Linked DNA regions of Arabidopsis thaliana. The main gene of each other region encodes a partner of the protein of the gene in region 2 in a complex. Each region holds a gene or a part of one and is shown on either strand. Other genes may lie near its edges. The genes, in order: VPS54, AT4G02030, AT1G71300 and POK.

Region 1 (5,254 bases), 9.7 Mb from region 2:
CCAATTCTCTGATGGCGGAACCATAGTGGCAAATCATTCCCTGGAAAACTTACAGCAGATAAAGGTTCCAAAACTAGTTCCTGGAAAAACCATTAAGGATAGCAATGTCACTGGAATAATAACAGAATAACCAGAGATTGGACCTTATGATTAAGTTGAAAAGATCTATTCGCCAGTATTTGACTCTTGAGCTGAGTATGAGCCACAATTTTTTCTTGTGCATCTCGGTTTAGCTTGTAGCAATCCGTGAATACGAAAGTAGAATGGGTCTTTTCAGCTATCACTAGAAGCGTCATGGGTTTTGAAACTGTTTCGAGTGAGATACAGCCATGAACATCCAAGTACTGATTTGATGGAAGCACTGGAAGAGAAATGAGATTTTTGCAATTCTTTAAGTAAAGAGATTTGAGATGATGAAGTTTCTTGATGCTTCCTGGTAGATTCTCGATACTGTTTCGGCTCAAGCATAAAGACTGCAGCGAGGATAAGCAGCTAAAATTGTCCGGGAATTTGTACAGATTACAATCTGTGAGATACATGTCTGATAACTGAGAGCAACCTGAGAAAGGCAGCAACTCCAAACCTCTGAAATCTTGGACTTTAGATCCACCAAACGAAAACAGCTTGAGATTACTCATACACATTGTTCTGGGAGTTTGTTTGATGGATGTATCATCCATTAGCAGAATCTCTAAGCTTCCCATGTTTGTTTGGGGATTCCATGTTTTACCAGATGCCCATGTTACATGCAGACAGGAGACTGCAACTTTGGTATTACAGTATGTGTAAATTCCATCATCCGAGTGAGAGAGAAACCCATGTCCTTGAGACCTCCTTAAGCTCCAAAGGCCTCCCTTCACGGACGGTGAGCCATTTCTTAAACTAGCAGTAGCAATCTAGCAGACGTTAGTTTTCTTTGCTTCAAACCTCATTCTTTTGAACTAACCAACACCAAAAGCTTGTTCGACTTCAAACTGAACTCTGTTTTTCTAATCTCATTACTATCATCTGTGTTTATCGCTTGCTCAATTTTTGCTCCAATCTTTCGACATGGAGAACCCGTGTGTACCTTATATTTTTACAGTGGAAACTGCAGCTCCGGTCCCACTTGTATCTTTGATCATCCGATGTTGGTATCAACACACAAGAACATATCTTCCATGGCTTCCGAGACACAGCACTTGAATCCGCTAGGATTGTCCTCTTCACTTGGGGCTTCATCAAGTGATATTGTGGAAGCATCAGCCAAGAAACCCAGAATATACAAGAACACTTCTTCCGTAGCGTCTGATACACCACACTCGAATCCATTAAGATTTTCTTCTCCAATTGGAGATTCATCAAGTGAGCTTGTGGAAAGATCAACTAAAGAAACTGTAATCAACAAGAACACACCTTCCATGGCTTCTGAGACTCTGCATGCTAATCCACTAAGATTTTATTCTTCCATTAGAGAGTCATCAAGTGATTGAAGTGAACTTGTGGAAACATCAGATTAGAAACCCATAGTGCATAAGAACACACCTTCCATGGCTTCTGAGACACCGCACTTGAAGTCGGTAGGACTTTCTTCTTCGCTTGGACCTTTATCAAGTGAGCTTGTGGAAGCATCAACTGTGTCTGAAGTCACACAAGAAACCGTTAGTAGAGGTGTCATTGAAGTGAAGACTTAAAATTTTTGTGGTTAAACAAAATGTTGTATTTTAAAATATTGTTCTTCTAATATATATTTTCTAATATTAACATATGCTTGATCCAAAAATTTCCATGAGTAATATATGAAAACAACATAATTAAGTAAAAAAAATACAAGGCATTTTTCCAAATTAACTCAAACAAAAATCCATAGGATATTTTTCAAAAGTATAAACAAAACAAGGCATTTTTCCAAATTAACTAATTAGAATATTACAAATTTTGTTAGAGAACTATTTGATTTATTGAATTGAAAAGATATTTGTAATATAGTAATATTAATTTTACTAGTAATGAAAATCAGTTATTCATAATTACAGAATCAAACTGACATTTATCCTTTTCTGTAGATGACGTGGATACCTAATGCACCGTCGATTAAATCTGCGTAGTGAAACCCCGCACTGCTCACAGCACCACCTCTCTCGAACCATCGAGTCTCGAACCCAGAGAGGACTTTCCTCAGTGAGTCCTCCGTTCCTTAGCTTCTCTTCCAGATCCAAACTCTCACCAAACTTTCTCACAACACACACACAATTCGATTCGATCCACACTCTTAAAATCCCAAAGATCTCTCTGATTTTGAAATTCGATTCTTCCCCAGATCAACTTGTGAATTTTTCCACAATTTTGGTTCATGATTTTGATTTCGTGAAGGACTTATGGATTCACACCCTTCCCTAATGGGAAGGTCCATTACCAATTCGAACCGATCGAGCTTAGATCTTGGTCGTCCTTCTTCGTCTTCTTCATCTTCTCCTTCACCGTTAACCAAATCGATCTCCGATGCAAGTAGTCAAAGTCTCTCTTCGATCCTTAACAATCCACACGGAGGTAAGTCTGGTGTTTATGGTTCCGATGCATCTTGGGTTGGTTGGTGGTCTTCATCGACATTTGTAGCTCCAGCTGAGTTTGCGCCTGTTGCTTCAACGAAGCTCCCTGGTTCGGAGCTAACCAGATCCGACTTCCATGGCTACGTTTCTTCGATCTCTGAGTCTCATGGTAGATTTGAGGATATTAGGAAGCATACTAGGGAAGAGAGCTGTGGGTTTGATCAGGAGAGCCATGTATCGGGTTTAGCTGCGTGTTTGCGTGAGGTTCCTTCGCTTTACTTTAAGGAGGATTTTGCTCTTGAGGACGGAGCTACATTTCGTTCTGCTTGCCCTTTCTCGAGCCTTAATGAGAATCTAGCGCTTCAAGAGAAGTTGTCACAGTATCTTGATGTGGTGGAGCTGCATCTTGTGAAGGAGATCTCTGTGAGGTCTGATTCGTTTTTTGAGGCTCAAGGACAGTTACAGGATTTGAATGTGAAGATTGTTGAGGGTTGTAGTAGGATTCGTGAGTTGAAAGAGACTATTCGGCTCCTGGATAGGAATTTGGTAGATTCAGCTCGACAGATTCAAGAGCTGAGCTCAACTAGGATTAATATGCTGGAGCTGCAACGTAAATTAAGACTTATTTTGTATGTTAACCAAGCTCTCTCTGCACTCAAATTGGTAATTTTTCTTACTGATTTGCTTAGAGTAGTGTCAATGTAGATACTTTTTTGTTTTTCCTATCTTTTATTGATGGAAGTTTGATTCTTTATTGTTCAGCTTGTTGCGTCCGCAGATTGTGCTGGAGCTTTGGATATAACTGACGATCTCCAGAACTTGCTGGTAAGTTCATCTGTGATTGATGTTGGATACTTTTAGACGATTAGGGTGCTCTTTCTTTAGAATGTAAAATGGATTCCTGTCTTTTTTAGGCTGGGGATGAGCTTACTGGTCTATACTGCTTCCGCCATCTTCGGGATCATGTTACTAGTTCCATAGATTCCATAAACAGGTGTGTCTCTTTTCAGGCTATGATAACTGACTATAATAGGCTGTATTTAGTCTGCCTGTAATGCTCTTTTAGGATGGATTGATTGGGAACAATGAGAGTAAGTCGGATCTTAACTGTGCAAAGTACCTTACCAAGTTTTTAGAGAAGTGGTGAAGATGTGAATTATTGACTATGTTTTTGAGTCTCGCTTTCGAGCGTCTTGAAATTCTTAGATAGTGAAGGCAGTCGATATTTGAAAAATGTTTGCAGGGTTTTGCAGCTCTGGTTTTTTTTTACCCTTCTACGTCCTTTTATTGACTTCTGGTTTATATATAGCAGATAGTCTCTCTATAATTTGCGAAGTCGCTGTTTCTTTGTAGATCAACCCTTTCATGTTACCCGTGTGCTTGGGCCATTTGCTGAGATTAAGTTTTATAACTGCCAATTGCGGTGGATAGTTTTACCGTCTGATGACTATGCATGCATCCAGGCTTGTAGCATTCTATTAGTAATCAATCATAACTTCTGAACTCTTAAACTTTCCCCTTAAGTTCTTGCATGCGGTAATGCCTTGCTGGCGGAATTACCCTTATTATGATAAATCTTGGTTTGCATTGAAATGTACTATGTTCGTCATTATTTTGATACTTCATTCATATTTTGTTACCTTCAAAAGGTGTAGAACAGTATACAACCTGTAGGCATTTGTATCAGTTAAATGTTTAGTATATTGATTTTCTTTGGTAGTGAATTGTTCCGTGAAAATTTTACTATAATGTAAGTTCACTTTCTATATGCAGTTATCTACCAGTCCTGTTTTCTCTATTATTTTCTTTTATTTGTTTATTTGGTCTAGTGCCTGATGGTTCATTGATTTTTTCTTTGTAGTATTCTCACTTCAGAATTCATGCGTATCTCCATACATGATACTGGGGAGATAGATGTACTGATTTTATCTGCAGCAAATATACGGGGATCCATTTCATCTAACGGGAATACCGGCGAAGAAGTAAGTCTCATCCGGTACTGAATAGAAGATCCTAAACTGTGAGAAGTGGTAGATTATCAGAAAAAGAACTGAAACAACGACCATCATGACTCTGAATATTGGGCTTACGCCTTTGCAGGTTAAGTTAGAAGAAGAGGATACCTCTACCTTATGTGATCGGCTTCTTCCTTTAGTTATTGGATTGCTAAGAACGGTGAGTGACCAGACCTGATTATTTTTCTAACAAATGCTACCACTGAAGTTGACCTGATTATTTTTCCAACATATGCTACCACTGATTGTTTTAATTTCTTCGTTTATGCCATTCCCGGTCTTTATTGTTGGTTCATAGTGCTCATTCAGGGCATAGTCTTAATTCAGTTTCTCATGTATTGTTCTTTGAACTGTTTTCATAGGCAAAGTTCCCGTCAATTTTGAGGATGTATCGTGATACACTCACATCCGAAATGAAAAATGCAATCAAGAAAGCAGTTGCTGATCTGCTTCCCATTCTTGTTGCAAGATCGCTCGAATCTGATTTTTCACATGGGGAGCGCTCTGTAGATGATGGTGAGATTTTAATTGTTCTTACTATGTATACAGATTGTCATGCGACTTAGTTTGTGCATGAGAACATGGTTGAACATAAGTTTGTATTTGAAATGTGTAGAATTCCTCTAACACACATTCTCATCAAGGTCAACACCATAGAAACGACAGTATTGGATTCTTGTTTTAGCAAATGCCCTTATCAATATTGCTGGA
Region 2 (8,345 bases):
GACCCAGGGAATGATGTAAGCTCTTGATCTTCCTAGGGTCTTTTGTCTTTTCAAATTTTCTGCAGTATCTGCGACTTTGGGCATTGTTGTATTGAAAGTTAGCTTGTCAGACTGATAGGGTTAGAGATCTATTCCAGAAGAAAAAAGTTCTGATCCGGAAAAGCCAATTTCCTTGCTTAATTTTTCCCTGATACCTGCATTGGACAAGAGAAAACGATAGTTGACCATAAGTTGGCTTAGACAAGTGATTATTTTATTTGAGATTTTATTGATATTAGCATGCCATGTCTGTCAGAATCATATTTTGGTTTACCGCTCTCTTACTTTACTTGACAGAATGATGAGGTGCCTCCAAGGACAAGATTGTTCCGTAGAAAAGGCAAAACCCGGAAGCTAAAATACTCTACAAAGTCTGCTGGTCATCCGTCTGTCTGGAAAAGAATAGCTGGTGGCAAAAACCAGTCCTGTAAACAATACACGCCGTGTGGATGCCTGTCAATGTGCGGAAAGGATTGCCCTTGTCTAACTAATGAAACTTGCTGCGAGAAATATTGCGGGTATGCAAACAAATTAACGTCAATTGAAGTAACAGAGGATCTTCTTATAACCATCCATTGATTTAATTCAGGTGCTCAAAAAGCTGTAAAAATCGTTTCCGAGGATGTCATTGTGCAAAGAGTCAATGCAGAAGTAGGCAGTGTCCCTGCTTTGCTGCTGGCAGAGAATGTGATCCAGATGTTTGCAGAAATTGCTGGGTTAGGTAGTCATTTTAAATCTAGATCTCTTGATGTGCCATATACAATCAAATCTACTATTTGATGAGTAACTTAAGATGCCTTGCTTATTCACTCAGTTGTGGAGATGGTTCTCTCGGTGAAGCACCAAGACGCGGAGAAGGGCAATGCGGAAACATGAGACTTCTCCTGAGGCAACAACAGAGGGTATAATACTGTCATCAAATCATGTATTTACTAAAAATAAAATGCATTCATTGTTGATAAATCTAGTTTCTCATGTGCTATATTTACCAGATCCTATTGGGAAAGTCTGATGTTGCTGGATGGGGTGCTTTTCTAAAGGTAAAGCATGTGAATATCTTCCTCATTAACTTCTGTTTCATACCTCTTGTATGTAATCTGAACCTCATCTGATCATCAGAACTCGGTCAGCAAAAATGAATACCTTGGAGAATACACCGGTGAATTGATCTCACACCATGAGGCGGATAAGCGTGGGAAAATATATGACCGGGCAAATTCGTCCTTCCTCTTTGACTTGAATGATCAGGTGACCAAATCTCTCACCCTTCTTTCTGATAGTTTCCTCTTGAATTTCGCATATGTCAGTAAGCTTTTGATATTTGCAGTACGTCCTCGATGCTCAACGCAAAGGTGACAAGCTGAAATTTGCCAATCACTCAGCTAAACCCAATTGCTACGCTAAGGTACTAAATGCTTCTCTCTCATATCCATTTTGGTATGAAAAAACCACATGATCGGTTAGTAATTATACCTTCTTTCTCACCTCTAGCCACTCAAAAGTTCCATTTAGAAGGAGGACTAGGATTATAACATTTTGTAGAAACTAATCGCAATTAGCACTATAGAAAACAGATGATCAAATCTAGCTTTGTAGGTTATGATCAAAACACACTTGTTTCTACAATCTTTATGATTGTAATGTGTAAAGTAACATGTGTATATCATCTGCTAGATTTATTCAACCCTTTTCGAAAGGTGTTAATTATTTACAAAAAAGAGCGATTTTCAGTCTATTGTCGTAGTAACCATGGTCTCATCGCTTCCCGCATAAGTACGGTGTCTTTTTCTGTGTGGTGTAGGTGATGTTTGTAGCAGGAGATCACAGGGTCGGGATTTTTGCAAACGAACGAATAGAAGCTAGCGAAGAGCTTTTCTATGACTATAGATATGGACCAGACCAAGCACCAGTGTGGGCTCGCAAACCTGAAGGCTCCAAGAAAGATGATTCAGCCATTACTCATCGTAGAGCCAGAAAGCACCAATCTCATTGATGATTACTGGCTAAGAGAAGTAACTTTTATAAAAATAACTTATAGAGTTGTGAGAGATGATATTTGAAGTTTGATAACTTAAGCTTGTCTTTATTAATTAATTATTATAGAGTTGAGATTTTATTTTATTTTGACATCGAGTTTGGACTTTGTATAGGTGATAAAACAATTTATGAATTATTGGGGTCAATAAGTAAAAATGTATCATTTCGAAAAATAGTTTCAAATTTATGGATTTTTGAACAGCTAAAGCCAATCTATGTACTTTTCAACGAATAAAACTGATTTAAAATAAGTGAACGAACCAATCACACTAAACCAGTGCCTAATCTCATAAAAAGTAATCCGACTGCTAAACCGTATTCCGGTTCGAATCGGATACGGATCCGTTTCCCAGTTGATTAGTCGGATCCAGTTTCTTCTTGCTTTTTCAATTCACATTACGAATCTCCGACGCCAAAATTCTGCTTCCGGTAACAGATATTTTCGTCGTCGAGAAGAAGCAGGAGTTTAGAAAAATGGCGACGGAGGCAGCTCCGATGGACGAAAAGGCGAAGAGAATGAGAGATCTATTGTCGAGCTTCTACGCACCGGATCCTTCAATCTCGACGAGTGGTTCCTCCATCAACGCCTCTTTCGATAACATCAACAGCACTTCCTTTGATGCTGATCAGTACATGGATCTCATGGTTAGTCTTCGTTTCTTGTCAGAATATTCGTGAATCGTCAACACAAGCGTCAATAGCTTGTATATTGTATCAAATTATTGAGTATTTCGATTCACTGAAGTTAGATTCGGCTCTTTGATCTTGGTCTAAGTGGTTAGTTCGAAATTTAGAATATGTTTAGATCCGACTGTTATCTTTTGGAGCAGGAATATAGTTGCTAGTTTTGAATTCTACCCTTCGGATGAAGTTTACAGTGCAAGGTTCTTGTAGAGGTCTCTTGATCAATGTGGTCTGGTTTGGTTATTTTCTATGCAAACTTATGAGAATTCTGCAAATTTAGTTGTTCTTATCAAAGATCTTCCTGCAATGGTTGATAGTTCGGAACTAAATTGGGTTTATGAGGTTTGTGTTAAGTGTGGTGACAGTAGTGCTAGCGATCTGATTGAGATATATGCCACAGTCTGGTGATTTTATTGGCTTGTGCAGATCAAAAAGTCGAATTTGGAGGTGCTTCTGCAAAGACATGTTCAAATGGCTGCTGAGATTAAAAATCTCGACACAGACTTGCAAATGCTAGTCTATGAAAATTACAACAAGTTTATCAGTGCAACAGATACAATCAAAAGGTACTTGTAATGGTTCATGGATCGTTTCAGGTGTTAAGTGTGTCATTTAACACTTTTCTCTATATGATTTGATTTCACCACTCGGTAGTATATTAAATTCAAAATGTTGCTTCTTTACCTGGTAGGATGAAGAGTAATATTTTCGGGATGGAAGGCAATATGGACCAGCTTCTTCAGAAGGTGTTTTGAACACATATGATACACGTAGTTTTGGATTTTTTTATGGGAACTTCTCACTCATAGTATATCTCCCAACTGACTCATGCAGATAATGTCAGTACAATCAAAGAGTGATGGGGTCAACACTTCTCTTTTCGAAAAGAGAGAACATATAGAGAAACTGCACCGGACTCGTAATCTTCTTCGTAAAGTTCAGGTATGTAATGAGTCATTTTTGCTAGCTTATATATCTGCTGTGTTGTCACCTGATCATTATAGCAATAATATGAATTTACTCAAATTAATTTTTGTGAGAAAGAGCAGTTCATCTATGATTTACCTGCAAGACTGCAAAAATGTATCAAGTCAGAAGCCTATGGCGATGCTGTCAGGTTCTATACTGGAGCAATGCCAATTCTCAAGGTTTACATCTGTCCTCGGATAACTTTTCCATTTTTTTGTAGTATTCTTTTCATGTTACTGGGGCATTTAACATTCTGAAGATATATATGTGGAGATATGTTTAAAAATATGAATTTCTCTTTCTGTTCAGGTATATGGCGATACATCATTCCAAGACTGCAGGCGAGCTTCCGAAGAAGCTATAGAAATTATCATAAAGAACTTGCAGGTATACCTTTTGGTCCTAGTAGTCTATACTTGTCTGGATTAATAAAAATCTACATACAATACTGGCTTATCAACCATATAAACAAATAACTGGTCTTTATGTTTTGTGTTTGTTATTTCTTGATGCAAGAAACCTATTTTGGCTTGTTTGACAGACGAAGCTATTTTCAGATTCAGAATCCATACAGGCGAGAGCTGAAGCTGCAGTGCTTCTTAAGCAGTTAGATGTCCCTGTCAGTTCTTTCTCTTAGCTCAATTATCTGTGACTTGTTTAAGTTGTTATAGAGCTACCTAGAACGTTCGTAATGTTCATCCTTGTACAACTGGTTTATCACTGGTTGTGACATAAATTTGGATTGCACATCCTGCAGGTTGATAGCTTAAAGGCTAAACTGTTGGAAAAACTGGAACAGTCTCTTGATGGTCTTCAAATAAAGCCTGAGGAGGCAAGTACACTTGTAGAGGACGATGATTCATCTAACGATACAGAAAGCAATGACCAACATCCTGCTAAAATTCATGAGGTAAACACGGACTATGTCGCTTCCTTATCCTTTGTGTTTTTGATGAATGCAAGTTGGAACACAGTCAAACTGACTGTATCTATTAAGCACTTTGAATATCCGCAGCTGCTTTACAGGAGATTTTCTCATTAGCCACCATATTGAGATCTCTTTTCTTTTATTTCATTTGGTTTATCAGACTTGACGAGCTTTTTATTTGCACTTTTGATATTTTAATGGTTGTCCCCTTTTTTCTGATAGGATGCCGTACGTGGATTTTCTGAGGCCATACGTGCTTATCGAGAAATATTCCCCGACTCAGAAGAAAGACTTTTCAAACTCGCGAGAGCCTTAACAGCAATGTAACGCACTTTTCTTTGATATATTGATCCATAAATCGAGACTTTGTTTGTGTCTGACCTGCAGAATTTCTAACACTTATGGTTGTTAGGCACTTTGAGTACATGGAGCTATATATAAAAAAACGGGTTTCTGCAGCAGATTTTCTAGGAATTTTTCGTGAGTACAGTGAATTTCCTCATGCCCTTGTCTCTTTTTTATGTTGCTTTCATTTCTTCTGAAAGCTTTGGTTAAATCAGTCTAATGAACATATATACCCTGTCTGATTTCTGTTGGACGTAGGAATTGTATGGGAAGATGTGGTACTTATGGACGAGGTGCTACCTGAGGCTGCACTCTCTGATTTATCTGCAGAGGTTGACCCTCATTTATGTTGTGTGGTTCTATTTTTCGTTATAATGTGTAGAACTATATATGATTACTAGCACTCCTCATTTCAGGCTGCCCAGGTTACTCTTAAGCAATTTGTTGCGAGAATGTTTTCTCATCTTCAACAGGATATATCAGGTTCGCTGTTTTCTAATTTCTACTGGATTCAGAATTTCTTAGTGAGGGAAAAGAGAGAATGAGTGTAGCTTCACTTTTCATAAGAACTTCTGTGAAATGGCCTTTAAGTAATTTGAAGAGTAGATTAATCTCTTCGTGAAGTTTTAGTCTTCAAATGAAATAGAATTATAATGAGGTATATATATACATGGCAGATACTCTCTTGAAATTCGATATCAACCAAAAGGAAGCAGTTGAAGGGGAACTCTTGAAGGTTGTCCTGGAAGCTAGCCAAAAAGCAGTGCTACAAGGCACCACAAATATATTTCAGGCACATTCCTTCTTCTGTTATTTATTATATTTTGGCTGTTATATCATCTGTATGAATTCCATGCTCAAAAACGCTTATATTCGTTCTATCACTTCAGGACTTCCGTCAGCTTCTTGATGAAAAAACTGGAATATTTATAAAGATGAAGGATTTAATCAGTGGTTGGATTCAGAAAGGATCTCAAGACTTCTTCAGGTCACTAGAAGCTCAATTTCTAGTGCTTTCTGGAAAAACTAGCTCATCAAACGATATAGAGGGAAAATCGAGTGACAAAATTCATGCTGGTCTCATTCTTGTATTGGCGCAGCTCTCTGTCTTCATCGAACAAAAGGTCATCCCGAGAGTTACTGAGGTGAGATTCTTACAAGTAGTTTTGCATAAAGTTTAAATCAATTGGTAGCTGGTTTTGAGAAATTTCATATGCTTATTCAGGAAATAGCTGCTTCCTTCTCTGGTGGAAATTCCCAAGCCTTTGAGAATGGACCTGCTTTTATTCCTGGAGAACTTTGCCGGGTCTTCCACGCAGCCAGCGAGAAACTTCTCCAGCATGTATGAATGAAACTCCAAAACTTGAGGTCGTTTACCAAAACTTAACATCAACTAACTAAATCATTTCATATTTCAGTACATAGACACAAGAACACAGAAGGTATCAGTTTTACTGAGAAAAAGGTTCAAGACACCTAACTGGGTTAAGGTATTGCTGTTGTGGTGTGGCTAATCTTCTTAGAGAAGCATTTTACCAGTCATTGTTTTTTAATTCCAAATATTATGCAGCACAAGGAGCCACGAGAGGTTCACATGTATGTCGATATGTTTCTTCACGAGGTTTGACAACTCTTCTCCTCTTAACCTGGAAATTATCTAAAGAGCATGCAATAAATCATATTTGTTTGGATTTTCTACTTCGCAGTTAGAAGAAGTTGGTAAAGAAGTGAAACAAGTTTTACCTCAAGGGACTTTCCGTAAGCACAAAAGAACAGACAGCAACGGAAGTAACACTACAACCTCATCACGAAGCAATACCCTCCATAATGATAAGATGGCACGGTCAAATTCACAAAGAGCTCGTAGTCAGCTTTTCGAGACACATCTTGCAAAACTGTTCAAGCAAAAAGTAGAAATATTCACCAAGGTTGAATTTACCCAGGTAAAAACGAAAGAGGTTCCCTTATAGTTATATCAAACGCGCACTGCCACACGCTCATCATCTCCTGATCTCTTTTCGTGCTAAATATTTGCAGGAATCCGTTGTTACAACAACAGTAAAACTTTGTCTGAAGAGTTTGCAAGAATATGTCCGTCTCCAAACGTTTAACCGGAGCGGGTTCCAGCAGATTCAGCTAGACATTCAGTTCTTAAAAGCTCCATTGAAGGAAGCAGTTGAGGACGAAGCTGCAATAGACTTCTTGCTCGACGAGGTGGTTACACCTAAAGCTCCTTCCTTTACTTTTCTTCTTATTACCATCAAGCAGAGGCTCTATGTCTATCTTTTGCAACTGACCATTGATTCTCCGACCATGATGTGTGTTTGTATTGACAGGTGATCGTTGCGGCTTCGGAGAGATGTCTTGATGTGATTCCATTGGAGCCACCGATCTTGGACAAACTCATACAAGCTAAACTCGCTAAATCAAAGGAGCACAACAACAACACAGTTTCTTCTTAAAAGTTTTCATAACTCAAACAAAGTATACATGATTTTTGCCAATTTATTTCCGCTTCTTGTTATCATCCGTAGTGTAAATCAAAACCATTGAATTGTACTCTCTAGCATTGAACCAGTAAAATCTACACCGTAACTTCTTCTTTACTTTTGTGAACAAATCTTTGAATTTTTTTTTTTAGCAACATGCAATTTGACTTAAAAGATATGTAAAACCCTAAAACTAAACTACATAAATTCCTAATTACACTAAAACCCTAAAATTGAGTGCCGAAAAAATAGAAAAAATATTCATAGTCACGGCCTCACGGGTCTCTCTATTATATAAGAACTCCTTGAGACTTAAAAAAAATCTCACATTCCCTCTCTCTAATCAAAAAGCTAAAAGCAATGGCCACTGCGATGTCTTACTCTTCTCAAAACCATCGATTCGAGCACCAAACCCTAATCCACCGTAACCCTAAGCCTCGTCTTTGCCGCAACTCTTCAACAGCTCCTCGCCGACGCAAGCAAAGCCCTACGGTTGTTAAATCTCCGGCGGCGAATCCAAATCTTGTAATGGAACAAGTCAAGATCCTCAAACGCGGTGAGACATTGAGCGCGTTTAATAAGAACAAGGAAAACATTAGCTCCGACGATACAAGACGACCTGTTTTGAAGATGATAAAAGATGTTGATCTGATTGTATCGGCTACTAATAGAATTGGACCTGAACCAGAGATTTTGATGAAACAGATCGGAGCTTTGGGATTGCAGAGCTTCGCCGGAGCTAATTGCTCTCTTTCGCCGCCTCCAAGCTGTGTTCCAATTCCATGTTTCTTAGGGACGAAGAACAATCTCCTTGTTTAGATCATCTGATTTGGGGAAAACAAAAACCCTAAAAT
Region 3 (7,035 bases), on a different chromosome or scaffold from region 2:
AGGCTATGGTGATGCTGTGCAAAAGGCGGAAGCAATGGCATTTCGCCGTGCGTGTGCAAGATTTGGATTAGGGCTTCATCTTTATCACGAGGATGCTTTGTAAAGGGTAATCTTTCTTTAACCATGGGAAAGTATATTATTTTGGTGTTCCCACTGCCTAGTAGTAGTAGTCTTTGAAGGTAAAACTCAGGGAAGCTTAAGTTTTTGGTATCTTAGATATGTATCAGCTGATATTGATCGCTTTATGATTTGAAATCGGTTAATGAAATGACCTTCAGAGGACTCTTTGTTGCATTTCTGTAACTTAACTTGAGGTTGCAACTTTAACCAGTAAAAGTTATCTGTTTGTGGCAATTCGCATCTGCACTCTCTGTTCACTCCTTGTAGAAATTCCCATGAAATTATCCAAGACACACAGGCTGAGAAAATACCTAGACTAAATAAGGATAATAGTAGCAAAAGACATAAGAATTATACATAAGGAGCCAATATGTTATCTTTCAGAAAGTCTTTTTGTATTTCTTGATCTCGAACATGATTGATTGATAGTTGACAATATCCCTGTTGAGAGCAGATCCACCATCTATCTTCTTGATACAGTCTTCGAGTCTTGTGTAATAAAGCAAAAGTTGTGTCATTCCAGCTATCAAAATATCCATACCACACAAGAAGTTACTAAAGCAAGTTATGATATCTTTGTGCATCAATTCTATCGCTGTCTTCCATCTGCTTCCAAAGTCCTTCACCAGCGGCTCTACTTCAGCAACTGTGATGGACCTCTCTAAATTTGGACTTGAATCCTCATCTGCTAAGTACAATTCGGTGGTTATTCGACTTAACAAACAATGAGTGCGCGAAGACAAGAAAGAAAGAAGGTGCTTACTGGCTCGGCTTTTAACAAATTTGATCATATCACTGAAATGCTCCACCAGCAATTCTTCCTGCGAAATTACAAGAAATTAAACAAAACAATAATGGAAACATAATACACCAAATCTTACTATCTTTTTATGCTCTTTGTAGCTTGTATACTTGATCAAACAGAAATCAGCAAATTATAAAGGCAATCAAACTGAAACATTGTCCCTTACCGCAAATAAGGAAGTGTTGCTCTTTAGTAATTCCTCAAAATGCATTTGAATTTTCCCACCCTCTGGTTCAGCTTCCTAGAATAGATGAAGATTGATCAAAACAGATTAATATATTTCTGGTAAGGAAAGAAACCCAAGAAACAATAGATATGAGTTAAGATTTGTAGATAATTCGCATAGGCTGACTTCTTAGTGGTCTACATGGGTGCACTTAAACATGAGAGAGCCAAGGGTTCTTCTACTCACCTTCAGCACAGCAATGGTCATATCATAGTTGTTAATGAGAAACACCATCTGTTGCTTTGGCCTTGGGAACAACTTTGCAAGCTTAAGAATCAAGCTGTCTACTGCCATTCTTAAACGCTCCAAATTTATATCAAGCTGCAAAGTTTCATAGACAAATGTCAAGAGCTTTGGGTGAGAAGCTCCAAATAACACATATCGTTAGGGACAGAGAGAATACTTATAACGAACCTGCCCATCTCCATATTCAACATTCAGGTGAATAAACGAAGCCGTGAATTCAGCATAACGTCTCATGATATAGTGAGGATGCACATCATCTTCCCATATTGTATTTATGTTTGCATTTCGCAGACTGCCGATGTGCAAGTCAAACACCGTCTTAAAACGAGGCCACAAAGAAATATTAACCTGCTCAATTTGCAAAAGATTCATTAAGGAAATCAACCAAGCGGCATCTATGAGCTCATATCTAAAATCTATGCAAGACATTCAAAGTTATACCAGGTAGAAAACATAAGTTGGCACAACTGCAAGTAATATACATTAAGAGTATATCACACAGACTAAAAGAGAGACAAGGAGTTACTAACCTTGTCCAGATATGAATCCAGGCATGGAATCCTCCGGCGAGACATGATAAGCTGTGAAAAAGTGGCATTATTGAGAAATGCTTGATACACATAGTTGAGATATAAACAATCATCACACTCAAACTAATAATTGGGTTACCTGGTGGTGGTGTATAATGCGAATCATAAGCAGCAAACCGATAGCATCATAACAGCTTGAGAGGACGGAATCCAAGTGCTCATAGATAACAGAGAATGGGCCTGTGTCATGGAGAATTCAGAATTTATCCAAGAAAAAATTGCGTAAGACAATATTTCTTACACACTACTCAAGTACCATATAAAAATTTGTAACAACTATTCTGACTACAAAGTTTGGTATAGAAAAAGGAGGAAAGATTAAAACTTACCCGCAAATATTTCATAAAATATAGACTGTTCACCAAAGAAATCTTCACAAAAGATATACCTGTCAAAATGAAAACAAATGACGTTAACAAGGGGGTGGGTGGTGAGAAACAATAACACAAATAGAAAAGAGGAAAGATCAACAGAACTCAGAAGTAGCTGTATCCATAAGTAGCTTGTGCAAGCTCCTGAAGAGCACTTCATAAGGATACTTGAGAGAGCTGGCTTCGGCTATGTGCGGGATCAAAGCAGGTTGATCAATTTCCTACATCATACATAGTGAAACTTAAGTCTTTTAACAAACTCTTGCGATATAATACCTCCAAGTCAACGATAAGAAATACAGGAAAATATCAAGTGAACGTGGAACTAACGAATTCGCCAAATCATGCTCAATGGTCTGAAAAAATATAATCACTGGATAAATGATGAATACCTTTATAATTTGTATCCTCTCACCCAAAGCAAAAACGGCACAACGGTTCTTTAGTGGCTCCTTAGATCTTGAGAAGAGGCCAGTGCTTCTAGTGTCCACACCAATCAAGTCGTTTGATGTGGCTATATCTAACTGTAGTTTCTCAAATGCTTGAATATAAGACTGAAAATGTGCACTTAGCACCTGAAACCAGATCTCACATTATATTAGGTGTAACATTAACAACTGAAAGCCTAACCCATAACATAAAGCTTGTTCAATCTAACCTGCATACATCATCTAATCATTATAGCTCTAGTGAGAATACAAGAAAAGAAGAAGTACCTTGTTCATGGTATCTATGTATGCAGCGCGGACATCCATAAACACTTCTTTTCCATGTTCTTTGAGGAAGGAGATAATATACCTATGATCAAAATGTAATTTGGTAAATGAAGTACGTAAAAAAACCAAAGTAAAAGGGTGCATGACTCACTTGTACTTTAAAAACACACTCTGTTGAAGAATCTGAATGTTTGTTTTGGGTTTCCTCAGGGCTATAAGCTTCTGAACAATAAAATCATAAACCTGCAAAACGGAAATAAATGAGAATTGCTCCCTCGACGTGCATGCCCTTGGAAGCATTGGAACAGAACAAACAAAGACATAATTGTTACGAATCAAGTAACAGAGAAAGTAGATTAACAACCTTGGAAATAGCTTTTTGCCGGAGCTTTTCAAGCTCAGGCTCTACATCTTTTAATGCTTTGGAACTTTTAACTGCTTGATCTGTTTCTACAAATTTCAGCTTCTTGCTCAGAATTCCAAGTGTTTTGATATACTCTTCATTCACCTGAATACAGAAAATAGCAAGACTATCAGATTAGAAATAAAAATCCTACCAAAGCAACAATTACATAGAAAGAGGGAATTTGAAAAGATACCTCTCCATCAACAATTACATGAATCATCTTTGGTGGTACTATAAAGTCTTCGACAAATTTTGCTAGCTTTGATTCAGTCACCTGTTCATATAGGAGAGCTTGTTTTGATGAGTAACACACATAAGAAAATACCACCGAGGTTGAAGGAGAAAGAGATAATACTAATAGTGGTTTCTGATATGACTATATACCCTTCGATTTTTCAGTCTCAAACCCATGTCCATTGAATTTTCTTGAAGAATCTTTATGTCTGAACTTATAGAACCAATCTCTTCCTGAAAGAAACGAAGAAGCAAAGTGCGCATTCAGATTAAGGAGAAAGAATCACAAACTATATAAATTGTCAAATACCTGAAATCCACTGAGAAGAGTTTCCATTTGTGACAAGATGCAGTTACAGTCACGAATCTGATCGTGAAGTGAGACTAGTTTATCACTTTCTTTTATGTAATCCTGAGTATTAATGGAGGGTAGAAACATTAGTAAATTACGATATTAAACTTGTACAAGGAACAAAATACGTTACATGAAAAGTAGAAAACAACGAGTGCCACAATGTATCACAGGTAAGAGAATAGCAACCTCAACTGAATCCAATTCAACCTTCCGTAGATTGTTTTCAACACCTTTGGCATATTCTCTAAGTTTGTCACCACTGGACAGTATATTGGCAACAACCTGAACTTTCACAAGAAAAATAGCCTTGGATCAAAACTTCTATCCATGTACAGAGTAAGTCAAAACGGAGTAGATATGATACTGGAAAAAACTTTGTTCACTTTCAGTTTTTTTTTCTCACCTCGTCACTTTCACATTCTTCAAGTTCTTGTTGAAGCCCTTCCAATGATATATCCTCACTGCCCAACAAAAAGAGTAATGTCGATTTTATGAATGAGACAGAACCAAAGGAGAGCATTCTAAATCAGAACAATAAAGAGAAGCAGAAACTTATGTCAAACTCGAATTAAGGTAAACAGAAAAGACATGAGAATGTTACCTTCTTGAATCCTCTTCAAAAGCCAAGTCTCCAAAGAATGCTCCTAATTCAGATTCATGTTTCTCAAGATTACTGAAGTCGTCCATAGCTTGGCCCTATGTTTTTAGATAGACACAAACTTCGATAAGAGACTTGATATGAGCCTGTGATTTCGGTTTCGTGCAGTTTGTTAACGTGAGAAAGATTTTAGCAAGCTTCCTTTTAACGCAAGTCGCTCTTAGAGAGAGTTAGGGTTAATTGTTTGATTTCTTATTGATCATAAAGGGACTTTATATACAGACAAGGAACAATCCAACTTAAAGCCTTACAATATATCATTACTAGAAATCCTAATTGAAAAGGGAAAAACCTCAAAACCAATCTTAATCATGAGAAAAACGAAAAATCACCAAAAACCCTAGTCGATGGTAACGTTATGTTTTTTTAGTTAGAAGAGGAAGAGCAAAGAGAATAGACCCAAACTTCGATGAGAGATCGAACCCGCAAAAGAAGTAAAACAACCATAACAATAACATCATGATCCAAAAGGCTTTAGAACTCAGCAAATCAAATTTAGAGCGAAAACGAAGTGCCAGCTTACCAATGAGTTAGTGGGCATGTTGCTGTACAAATTCTGGAGAAACACCAATGGTTATAACAATAGTCAAATCTTAATCTTAGTATATATATATACAAAATTTGAGAATTGATTTGAAGGCCACGGAGCCACTGGCGATATAGATGAGAGGATACGCAAATACCAAGGAGGTCTATATTATTTTTGTGATACCAACAAATGTCTATTTTTATTTTATTTTCTTACAGATATTGTCGAGAAAAAAGAAGTTAAGATCTCCAAATTTTAATAGATTTTGTAAAAACTCAAAATCTGATTCTCGCATATATATAACAACCTAACTCTTGTTCTTCACATAAGCCAAGTACTATCAACATGATCCAAGAAGGTTCGAACATCATGAAGCTGATCTCTAGCTACACCTTCAATCGTAAATCTTCTGAGATTTTGTGTGACTGTATCATAATAAACCACATAGAATGATCTCTCAATCACAGAGTCTTGAGCGAACACAAGTTCTCCAGTTCCAATGGTACCTTTGAAGAAAAACTCCATATTTCCAACATGTTGTTCCCAATGAGGAATCTCAATGCAGTTTCTCCACCAAGTTCCATCAGTTTCGTTCCTTACCCACAATTCAAATACTCCATTGCCATTCGGTTCTTTCACAATACCAAAGTCAAACTCAGAGTCATCTACTAAGGCAACTTCCCCATTGTAGTTCACCAATCTCCAACGATGATCAATCTTGACTTCCTCAGGCAATTCAATGACGCTAAACTCTTCAGAACTCACGTTGAAGCTCACTACCACAGATTTGTCACTATTGGACTCATCAGCTCCATAATACAAGAAACCTCCTTTACATAGTCCTTCAGTAACTGGTGAATGATCATGCTTACATGTGATCACTCTCCAAGAATTAGATTCTTCACCTGATCCCACCGTCATTGTGTATACCTGATATTCCCTAGAACGCCTACCATCTCCGTACTGTGATATTACACAGTGGTTCCTCTTCTTGATAAACAGAGTGAAACACACCATCACGTCCGAACGGGGAAGTTGATGAACGACAATCGAGGCCTTGTCGTCATCGATCGGCGCAAGTAAGATCTCTGAATGCTCTCGAGCGGATTAAAGATGCCAACTTCTTTTAGACAAGATACATTTCACCAATGATTTCAGAGGTAACCGTGACAGAATATCTGTTTGTAGATCTCTGAATGCTCTCCGAGTTTGTTACTGTCAAATGTCAATGTTTAGAGGTATTCTTTTAAGCAATGACTAGAGCTTTACTTTAACAATGGGCCGAGAGATGTATCTCTTCTCTTAGTGGGCTTTAGTAGAAACTGGACCAAAAACTACCTAATTCGAACAAAATTTTGCTGTAGGTCTAAAAAATAAAGCTGGAGTGAGCAACAAGCAAGCGGCGGCCGTCATGGATTCATCGCCACCGAACACTATCATCGAGGAGGCGCCGCCGCGTTTCTCTGAACTCAAACCTCCGCTCTCAGAAGATATCATCGAGGCGCTTGACCGGTCCGGTTTCGAGGTCTGCACTCCGGTTCAGGCCGAGACGATCCCTTTCCTCTGCAGCCACAAGGATGTTGTCGTCGACGCAGCCACTGGTTCTGGAAAAACCCTAGCTTTCCTCCTTCCCTTCATAGAGATTATCCGTCGATCCAACTCCTACCCTCCGAAGCCACACCAGGTAAGGAGAATTAGCCGAATATCAAGAGTAGTAGCTTATGCTATATGTTAACAATTTCAATCTCAGGTAATGGGGGTGATTATATCGCCAACGAG
Region 4 (8,607 bases), on a different chromosome or scaffold from region 2:
CCTGTCAATGTCCAACAGATGACACTCCTTCACTAGTATATTTTGGTTTTCGTGTTTCTTTGAAGTTGTATGTTATAATGATTGAACCTATCTATCTATGAGTATCGAGTATCAAGTTGAAACCAAAATGCTTGTACTAAATAACATATGTGCTAATGAAAACAAGAAGACCCATGATTTAGAAGTCTTAGAGAGGACATATTAGTTTCAAAACAGAGCATGCCGAGTTTCGTGTGCACCAAATGCCAGAAAAAAGAACACATGCATTTTCAATTTACTCCGTTCCTACTACTCTCATCATTTCATTTATCCCACTCCAGCTCTAACTGTGGTTCAGTCTTTAGATGAGAAACATTCCTCGACGGCAGAGCTTCAGTATTAACGTGACCAGTTAACCGATTCCAACCCATGATGTGTGGAAGAGCAAACTGCACAAAATACAAAATCTGGTTAAAAAACAATCACCAATATCCCTTGAAGAATATATACTTGATCCAGATTCATGTGCTAAAACTGACAGAGAAGCAATGCCCTTGGTTTTTCTAGTCAATGTTTTTGGTTCTCGAACTGATATAATAGTAACAGAATATAGAGAACGCAGAATAAAAATCTTATCTTACACTAAAAGCTGTCTTCATCACTGCAAATTCAGCTTTTGTGACAGGAACCACAAAATAGTCATTGGTTTTGAGGATGCTATTGTTAACGCCTGCAACAAAACCGCAGAAGGTAAGTGTTTATACAGCATTAAGAATTCAGCATTCCTATTGTTATAAGACAGCTATTCTGTGCGAAAACTGTTATCGCCATATTACAAAACTAATACAAGTGCAAGCTTCTAAATTTACTAAACAGAAAGCTCCCATAACTAAGTATTTCAGTACTGATTATCCATGTTAATTTGATAGAAGCCTTACTCAATGAGATGAAGTAGCCGCTACCATCTGCGTGGGGCTTAACTGACAGTGACTTCCTGACTTGACCAGCATTACTGAGGAGTCAAAGACAAGTCTATGTCAGAACATGAAAATGCTGCGATAAAAATATAATGTATTGAAGCAAAAAAAGACAAACCTTGATTTCATGGAAGGGTCATGGAAAAACTCGGAGCTGTCTTTGGAACCCATGCTAATTAAGGATCCAACTTCAGTAGGTGACAAAGCAAATTTCTGCAATAATGTAGGAAACAAACCAAATTTATCAGAGGAGAAAGAAGAGACAAGTGAAGAAGATAGAGAGTGTGAAAAAGATCAATACCTGTTTCTTTTCCCAGTCGTACTTACGCTCACCAATAGCAGGCATAAAAGTCATCATTAAGGATCCACGACGATCTATCCGAAGATTTCCCGACTAAACAATTGTACTCACAGTAAGTAATGAGAATCTAAAAGAAGCCTTTAAAGAGAACACACAAAACTAAAAAGAAATGGATTTTGGGCTTACATCGATTTCAGTGAAACTGGGAAGAACAGGTTCAACAGAGAGAGCAGCTTTTCCTTTGAAGATAGAATAAGGTGCGAACAATCGACCACTAGGCTTTGCGGCATCTTCTCAAATCAAGCAAACAAAATTAGGGCAAGTACACTTAAACTGACGAAACGGAAACAAACCAAGTTCTTACCTTTACCAGGGAATCCACGTCCAGGGGTTGAAGAATTTGACCAGCTTGCAAAACCACGCAACGTCGAAGCTTCGAAAAGTGACTTACTTTGGTCACAAAGGCTCCTGCTTTAACAAAAACAAACCAACCCAGAGAAGCCATTTTAAGAGTAATGAAATCTAAAATCTGAATTTTGAGAGGAACTGAAGTAACCTGGAGAGCAAAGAGCGGGCTTGCTTCATCATCTTCTTCTGTCTCGAGTAAAAAGCATCACTTGAGGTCTTCCGACTTCTGAGGTTTTATGATTTATCAAAACGGGTTTTATCGGGCGACCCATATTTTAACCCGTTTGTTTTATATATAAGTCTTTTAACGGCCCAATGGGCCTTTATTGTTGATTGGGAAATTAAAAATCAGATTAGAGAAGACGAACGAATCTGAGAAAGGTGAAGCTGAAGAAGAAGAAGAAGAAGAAGAAGAAGAAGAAGAAGAAGAAGAAGACTCTCTAATGGCGGACTCAAACTGATTTCGAGGATTCTGATTTCGTTTTCTAGTTGAAGATCTTTCAACTCTTAATCTCATTAGGAAGATGTCCGACATTTCCATTGACGCATTGGTACTTCATTTTTTTTGCATTCGTGATCTTCTAGCCTTAATCATGGATCCTTTATGATCTCTTGTCTAATTCGCTTTGCTCTTCTATCTGAAATTCATAGGGCCAAACTATGGGGGACTTTAGTAATCATGAGAAACTTGGATTTGATTTAGGAGCATTTGTTGGAGACTTGGCTTTTGAAGAAGATTCAGGCAGGTAACGTTCTCATGTTTTGTATCTTAATTCGACTATAACATATGTTTCTGCTTCTCTTTGTTCTTCTGATTAGAATGCTCTCCTTTGATTTGTTTGGCAGTGAGGATATTTCATTGGAAGGGCTTCAACAAGAACTTGAAGAATGTGAAAGTGATGAGGTAAGTTATTCACTTAACTGAGATCAAACTTATAAAGCTAGCACCTCGGTTCTTCTTTTTCGAAGTATTGTTTCTACTCTCATTTGAGTTACTTTGGAGTACATGGATTGATCATAGAATGTTAGATCCATGGATATGATGTCCTTTCTATCTTGTTTGTGTGAAATGTCAGGTTGTTGCCAATATACTGTCTAGTGGTGACAAACTTAGAGAATATGCAAAAGGGGTTGAAAACAATCTACGCAAGGTTGAATTGGATTCAATCGAGGTTGTTATTCTCTACCTGTGCTACATTGTGGCACTTGTTGTTTTCTACTTTTTATGTACTTCCGTCTATAAGTTCGGGAATTTCTTTGATATCGTAAGTAACTAACTTAAATGCTTTACATTCCATGAATACTCAGGATTACATAAAGGAAAGTGACAACCTAGTCTCACTTCACGATCAGATTCGTGACTGTGACAGCATCCTGTCACAAATGGAAACTCTTCTCAGTGGATTTCAGGTATTTGAAAATTAGACATTTATATAATTTGTGTGTATGTATGTGCTTCTTTCTCCTTATTCTGACTTTTGCTTAATGGGAGGAATTTTTTTACTTTGAAATACATATATTTTTTCCTGGTAATCTAAATGTGCACTTTGCTTCTTTTCTTTCAGGAAGAGATTGGTTCTATAAGTTCAGACATAAAGATTCTTCAAGAAAAGTCAATGGACATGGGTTTGAGATTGAAAAACCGCAGGGTATAGCTAATCAGAAACCACTATTGGTATTATCTCTTGCTGCTTTCACTCGTGACTCATCCAAATGAACTCTTCTATTTGAATAGGTGGCTGAATCAAAGCTAGCAAAATTTGTCGAAGACATTATAGTGCCACCAAAGATGATAGATGTAATTGTTGACGGAGAGGTATTTTTCAAATTCACTTTTTATGTAGCTTTGGTAGGGTTGGAGATTTGTAGGAATTTTGTAGGATCTCGTCATGTTGTATACATGTCTAATTTTTCTTTTTGTTTCTGGTGCTATAAGAATTACTGATTTGGTGCATATGTTGTAATCTGAAACATGGAGGAAAAATAGAAAAACAACATTTTCTGGTTAAGCTTGGTATATGCTTCCCCTATGTGCAATACTAAAATTTATTAAATTTTCTTCATTTTGTTTTCTTACACCATTTAGTCCTATCTTTATGTCCCCTGAGTACGTGTTTTTTTTGTAAAACCATAGTGGTGCATTTAAGCCTAGGTTGGATTGCTGAGGGTATTTTTATTGCTAATCTGATAGTCGTATTATTTTCCTTATTCAGGTGAATGAAGAGTATATGAAAACGCTTGAAATTCTGAGTAAGAAGCTAAAATTTGTAGAAGCAGATCAGGCAGTTAAAAGTTCCAAAGCGTTAAAAGATGTAGAGCCTGAGCTCGAAAAGCTTCGGCAGAAAGCTATTTCCAAGGTTATTGATCTACTTTCTCTGTTACTTGATACCAAAAACTTATATATTTCGCTGAAGGGAGTGTGATAGGTCCAAACATAACTGTACCTATTGACTCTCAAAACACACTGATACATGCATATTTCTTAAAGTTGTTAATTGTTTGATAAAAAACTACAGAAAAGTTAAGTTCCTGATATAACTCAACTTATTCTACCTCAATGAGATGAATCATTGTTCCTTCCCTCTGAAAGAATTTATGGCCAGGAAAAAGTTGCCATCTGCGATAAATTCAACTTTTAGTTCTGTATTAAGTCATTTGTGTTTGTTCTCGTCCAATGCTGAAAGGGCATGCACGACTGCACGTCGATGGAGCATTCTAAATTTGTTCTCATGCAATAGATTTAAATTCGTTTTGCAGGTGTATGATTTTATTGTCCAGAAGCTTATAGCCCTGAGGAAACCCAAAACAAACATTCAGATTCTTCAACAGAGTGTGTTATTAAAGTACAAGTGAGTTATGCTCTCCAAGCCCCTTTAATTGGTTTTGACGTAGTGAAACTACAAATTGTACAACGTCTCCTGTCTTGCATGTATGTTTCTGTTAACTTTTTCTGCATGTGTATGTGGTCATCACCTTACAAACGTTTTGGTTAGTTATCTTGGTTTGGATTTTCCCTTTGTGATGTTGACGGAGTTGTTTTATTTTACATGTTACTGATATCCAACTTGATATTATATTGCTTCTACAAGACTTATGTGGATACATACTTCATTCACCAATTACAATTTAATGATAGGTATATTATCTCCTTCCTCAAGGAACATGGAAAAGAAGTGTTTATGGATGTTCGTGCTGCATACATTGATACCATGAACAAGGTGATATTCTTTATCTTGTTTGATTTCTTACACTATGCTGCAACTCCTTTATATAGTCTTAGTTGAATGAGGAAGAATACACAGATAGATTTGACTAAGGTTATTCTCCGCATATGCAAGGTAGTGGATACAACATCCAATTGTACGTTACATGCAAGTAATTCTTCTATTCTTGTTTTCTAACTATAATTGGACAAAGCTAGTTGGTTAGATAAAAATGCTGTTTGCTAGCTTAGGCTTTTAAATGTTATTACACCTTATGTATTGTATGATCTTGTTTCAGGTGTTAAGTGCACATTTTCGTGCTTATATTCAAGCACTTGAGAAACTACAGTTAGATATAGCCACAGCATATGACTTAATTGGGGTAGAGACCAGAACCACCGGCCTCTTCTCAAGAGCTAGGGAGCCACTAAAGAACCGCTCTGCCGTTTTTGCTTTGGGTGACAGGATAAAAATTATAAAGGTATGCATCATTCAGCAGTTATCATTTTTTGATTGATTTTTTCGACCATTCTACATGCTCTGGCGAATTTGTTATATAAAATGAGTTGCTCTTCTGACTCTTTAATACAAAAGATGGTACTAGGTCTGCGTCTTTACAAATAAAGTATAAGTTATATTAATGTATTGTACACCATAAGTTTTATTGAGGAGTGCCCACTTTGGTTTTGGTTCAGATATTTTAGTCTTAGGTTATAAATTATAGGAATCAAATATTTTGGTTCATTTCAGTTTTGGTTTTTACGATATGTATCCTTAATTTTAAAGGCTCCTCAAATAGATGGAAGTTTCGATTTGTTTTTCTCATTTTCAATTTGGATTAGTGTGGTATCAATTTGTTTTTTTTTGCTATAGAAGAAGTAAATCCAAAGTTTGTTTGGTTTAACAATATTCGTTAAAAGACTTAAGTTTCAGTATGACCGCTGTAGGATATTGATCAACCTGCTTTGATCCCGCACATAGCCGAAGCCAGCTCTCTCAAATATCCTTATGAAGTGCTCTTCAGGAGCCTGCACAAGCTACTTATGGATACAGCTACTTCTGAGTTCTGTTGATTTTTCCCCTTTTATATTTGTGTTATTGTCGCTCATCGCTCAACCCCCTGGTTAACGTCATTTGTTTTCATTTTAACAGGTATATGTTTTGTGATGATTTCTTTGGTGAAGAGTCCATATTCTATGAAATTTTTGCGGGTAATTTCTAATCTGTCTCCCTTCCTTTTGCTGTACCAAACTTTGTGGATTTTGTTAGCTGTGTAGAAGAACATCTGTTTTTCCTGTAATACTGGTATACCAAATTTGATATGGTGTTGAGCAGCGTGTAAGAAATTATCTTCTCTTCTTCCGGATAGAAAGCTGAACCTCTTGTACTTTACAATGGATATGATAATTGTAGCAGTTTTTTGGATAAATTCTAAAATTTAAATGATACAGGTCCATTTTCTGTCATCGATGAGCACTTCAATCCCGTTCTTTCAAACTGTTTTGATGCTATTGGCCTGATGCTTATGATTCGCATAATACACCACCACCAGGTATTAACGATGACCTAACTACTAGTTTATCTGCGTTTTGGTGAATATCTTGGAATTAGGTAATTTATTTAGCTTCTTCCCTTTTGAACTTTTCTAGTCTCCCACATATGTGAGAATGCATTGAAGTATGGTTAGATATTTATCAACTTGGCATTGGAAAGAGTTCTCTTAATATCTTGCAAACTAACGATGTAGATATACCTTCAACTGGTCCACATAGGCGTATTACAACCAGTCTATATTTTTTCTCAACAGTATGATAATCTAGTGTAGCTTATATTACTTATTTTCATGATCCAGCCTTTTGCAAGGGTCATGATGGTATTATATGTCCACTAATAGTTAAGCAATACTTTCCCACCTTTTTTACAGCTTATCATGTCTCGCCGGAGAATTCCATGCCTGGACTCATATCTGGACAAGGTTCATACCTCTCTATCTCTTTTATTATGTTTGATCAACATTTAAATATGTATGGTGCAATAAAAAGAGTTCATTATTATTGTGCTCATCTTCAGCTGTTTTCACTTGGTCGCTAAATGTTTTCTTTTTGGTATAACTTTGAAGGTCTTGTATAGATCTTAGATATAAGCTTATAGATGCGGCTATGGTTTGATTTCCTTAGGTTTCATAGTCCTCTCTCAATGAATCTTTTATTTTGGAAATTGAGCAGGTTAATATTTCTTTGTGGCCTCGTTTCAAGATGGTGTTTGACTCACACCTTAGCAGTCTGAGAGATGCAAACATTAAGACATTATGGGAAGATGATGTTCATCCTCACTATGTCATGAGGCGTTATGCTGAATTCACGGCTTCGTTTATTCACCTAAACGTTGAATATGGAGATGGGCAGGTTCGTTATAAGATTGCTTCTGTCTCTAGTGATATGTATTACCTGTTCTCATCACTCAAATCGCTTGACACTATATATGAACCGCTGCAGCTTGATATAAATCTGGAGCGGTTAAGAATGGCTGTAGATGGGTTGATTCTCAAGCTTGCAAAGTTGTTCCCAAGGCCAAAGCAGCAAATTGTGTTTCTCATAAATAACTACGATATGACAATCGCTGTACTGAAGGTGAGTTGAATCCTTGGCCGTCTCATGTTAAGTGCACCCATGTGGACCAGTGTTTTCTTGGTTTGAAATGGCTTTCTACGAATCTCAAGGCTTAACTAATTGAGTCTGACCTACCAAAAGAATCTGTTTTGATCATCTTCCTGTATTTTAGGAAGCTGGACCAGAAGGTGGGAAAATTCAAATGCATTTTGAGGAAATGCTAAAGAGTAACACTTCATTATTTGTGGTAAGGGGCAAATACTAGGTTACCTTTGTAATTTGCTTCATGGGTATAACATAAAACTGTCTTTGTAGTAGCCTAACCTTAAATCTGATGTTAACTCGTAGGAAGAACTGCTGGTGGAGCATTTCAGTGATTTGATCAAATTCGTGAAAAATCGAGCTTGTAAGCAACTTGTTTCTTTCTTTTCTTCACGTACTCATCGAGTGTTAAGTTGAAAAACCACTAAACTGTAAGATATGTGGCAGCTGAGGATTCGAGCTTAAATCCAGAGAGGTCCATTACAATTGCTGAAGTAGAGCCACTGGTGAAGGACTTTGGAAGCAGATGGAAGACAGCGATTGAGTTGATGGACAAAGACATCATAACTTCCTTCAGTAACTTCTTGTGTGGTATGGATATTTTGAGAGCTGCATTGACACAACTATTGCTCTATTACACAAGACTCACAGACTGCATCAAGAAGATAGATGGTGGATCTGCTCTGAATAGGGATCTTGTCTCCATCCAATCTATCATGTACGAGATCAGGAAATACTCCAAGACTTTCTGAAAGATAGCATATGTGGCTCCTTAATGAAGAGTATGTAAGATAAGTCAAAATTTTCAAAGTGAATCTAAAGCCAGTATTATGGGTCAGTAATGTATCTATCTTTCAAACCAGTAAGAGTTCCTCTAATGTCTTTCTTTTGCTAAATTCTCCACAATTATCTGACCAATATGTTTGGAATCAATTTCATAAAATAGAACCAAAAGACAAACATGATCTCAGTTTTTTTTAAAAAAGAAGAAGCCATTTTGCTTTTTAACATTTTGACAAATGAGAGAGTATAATTCTCTATTATATTAAATAGTCGTCAACCTTCACATCTCTACTGCTCTAGTCCAA

What was found.
Region 1: AT4G02030 (region 2) and VPS54 share a complex: the UniProt entries of both Arabidopsis thaliana proteins name them as parts of the golgi-associated retrograde protein (GARP) complex.
Region 3: AT4G02030 (region 2) and AT1G71300 share a complex: the UniProt entries of both Arabidopsis thaliana proteins name them as parts of the golgi-associated retrograde protein (GARP) complex.
Region 4: AT4G02030 (region 2) and POK share a complex: the UniProt entries of both Arabidopsis thaliana proteins name them as parts of the golgi-associated retrograde protein (GARP) complex.

The regions. Positions count from the first base shown.
Region 1 is NC_003075.7:10,613,660-10,618,913, forward strand, and holds the start of VPS54 (VPS54), read left to right. Parts: upstream 1-2,036; 5' UTR 2,037-2,357; coding exon 2,358-3,191; intron 3,192-3,290; coding exon 3,291-3,353; intron 3,354-3,442; coding exon 3,443-3,522; intron 3,523-4,389; coding exon 4,390-4,510; intron 4,511-4,628; coding exon 4,629-4,703; intron 4,704-4,905; coding exon 4,906-5,059; intron 5,060-5,254. Other genes in the region: AT4G19470 (Leucine-rich repeat (LRR) family protein), read right to left, coding at 1-80, 132-541, 584-680; AT4G19480 (uncharacterized protein), read right to left, coding at 1,121-1,374, 1,525-1,657; AT4G19485 (uncharacterized protein), read left to right, coding at 1,161-1,464, 1,510-1,673. UniProt on the Arabidopsis thaliana protein: Acts as a component of the GARP complex that is involved in retrograde transport from early and late endosomes to the trans-Golgi network (TGN). The GARP complex facilitates tethering as well as SNARE complex assembly at the Golgi.
Region 2 is NC_003075.7:889,712-898,056, forward strand, and holds AT4G02030 (Vps51/Vps67 family (components of vesicular transport) protein), read left to right. Parts: upstream 1-2,464; 5' UTR 2,465-2,550; coding exon 2,551-2,721; intron 2,722-2,825; coding exon 2,826-2,853; intron 2,854-3,055; coding exon 3,056-3,102; intron 3,103-3,186; coding exon 3,187-3,326; intron 3,327-3,451; coding exon 3,452-3,506; intron 3,507-3,594; coding exon 3,595-3,702; intron 3,703-3,809; coding exon 3,810-3,908; intron 3,909-4,038; coding exon 4,039-4,116; intron 4,117-4,270; coding exon 4,271-4,348; intron 4,349-4,486; coding exon 4,487-4,639; intron 4,640-4,879; coding exon 4,880-4,980; intron 4,981-5,069; coding exon 5,070-5,137; intron 5,138-5,260; coding exon 5,261-5,334; intron 5,335-5,418; coding exon 5,419-5,485; intron 5,486-5,679; coding exon 5,680-5,795; intron 5,796-5,892; coding exon 5,893-6,147; intron 6,148-6,227; coding exon 6,228-6,344; intron 6,345-6,420; coding exon 6,421-6,492; intron 6,493-6,572; coding exon 6,573-6,623; intron 6,624-6,708; and 7 more. Other genes in the region: SWN (SET domain-containing protein), read left to right, coding at 1-15, 337-557, 629-760, 854-941, 1,032-1,079, 1,159-1,287, 1,367-1,444, 1,841-2,032; AT4G02040 (uncharacterized protein), read left to right, coding at 7,852-8,310. UniProt on the Arabidopsis thaliana protein: Acts as a component of the GARP complex that is involved in retrograde transport from early and late endosomes to the trans-Golgi network (TGN).
Region 3 is NC_003070.9:26,871,785-26,878,819, reverse strand, and holds AT1G71300 (Vps52 / Sac2 family), read right to left. Parts: upstream 4,757-7,035; coding exon 4,671-4,756; intron 4,591-4,670; coding exon 4,473-4,590; intron 4,352-4,472; coding exon 4,238-4,351; intron 4,127-4,237; coding exon 4,025-4,126; intron 3,949-4,024; coding exon 3,865-3,948; intron 3,755-3,864; coding exon 3,674-3,754; intron 3,583-3,673; coding exon 3,439-3,582; intron 3,318-3,438; coding exon 3,226-3,317; intron 3,157-3,225; coding exon 3,075-3,156; intron 2,934-3,074; coding exon 2,751-2,933; intron 2,580-2,750; coding exon 2,464-2,579; intron 2,376-2,463; coding exon 2,317-2,375; intron 2,168-2,316; coding exon 2,067-2,167; intron 1,979-2,066; coding exon 1,928-1,978; intron 1,746-1,927; coding exon 1,566-1,745; intron 1,473-1,565; coding exon 1,338-1,472; intron 1,167-1,337; coding exon 1,092-1,166; intron 1,076-1,091; exon of another isoform or gene 942-1,075; coding exon 501-941; downstream 1-500. Other genes in the region: RAD52-1 (cobalt ion binding protein), read left to right, coding at 1-103; AT1G71290 (F-box associated ubiquitination effector family protein), read right to left, coding at 5,578-6,177; AT1G71280 (DEA(D/H)-box RNA helicase family protein), read left to right, coding at 6,668-6,940, 7,007-7,035. UniProt on the Arabidopsis thaliana protein: May be involved in retrograde transport of early and late endosomes to the late Golgi.
Region 4 is NC_003070.9:26,861,547-26,870,153, forward strand, and holds POK (Vps52 / Sac2 family), read left to right. Parts: upstream 1-2,040; 5' UTR 2,041-2,189; coding exon 2,190-2,216; intron 2,217-2,316; coding exon 2,317-2,411; intron 2,412-2,511; coding exon 2,512-2,569; intron 2,570-2,741; coding exon 2,742-2,837; intron 2,838-2,973; coding exon 2,974-3,075; intron 3,076-3,230; coding exon 3,231-3,314; intron 3,315-3,400; coding exon 3,401-3,481; intron 3,482-3,878; coding exon 3,879-4,022; intron 4,023-4,422; coding exon 4,423-4,514; intron 4,515-4,801; coding exon 4,802-4,883; intron 4,884-5,166; coding exon 5,167-5,349; intron 5,350-5,815; coding exon 5,816-5,931; intron 5,932-6,020; coding exon 6,021-6,079; intron 6,080-6,319; coding exon 6,320-6,420; intron 6,421-6,792; coding exon 6,793-6,843; intron 6,844-7,093; coding exon 7,094-7,273; intron 7,274-7,363; coding exon 7,364-7,498; intron 7,499-7,649; coding exon 7,650-7,724; intron 7,725-7,825; coding exon 7,826-7,883; intron 7,884-7,966; and 3 more. Other genes in the region: AT1G71250 (GDSL-like Lipase/Acylhydrolase superfamily protein), read left to right, coding at 1-36; ATWHY2 (WHIRLY 2), read right to left, coding at 303-428, 621-709, 918-991, 1,075-1,169, 1,258-1,350, 1,444-1,547, 1,622-1,725, 1,814-1,845. UniProt on the Arabidopsis thaliana protein: Acts as a component of the GARP complex that is involved in retrograde transport from early and late endosomes to the trans-Golgi network (TGN). The GARP complex facilitates tethering as well as SNARE complex assembly at the Golgi.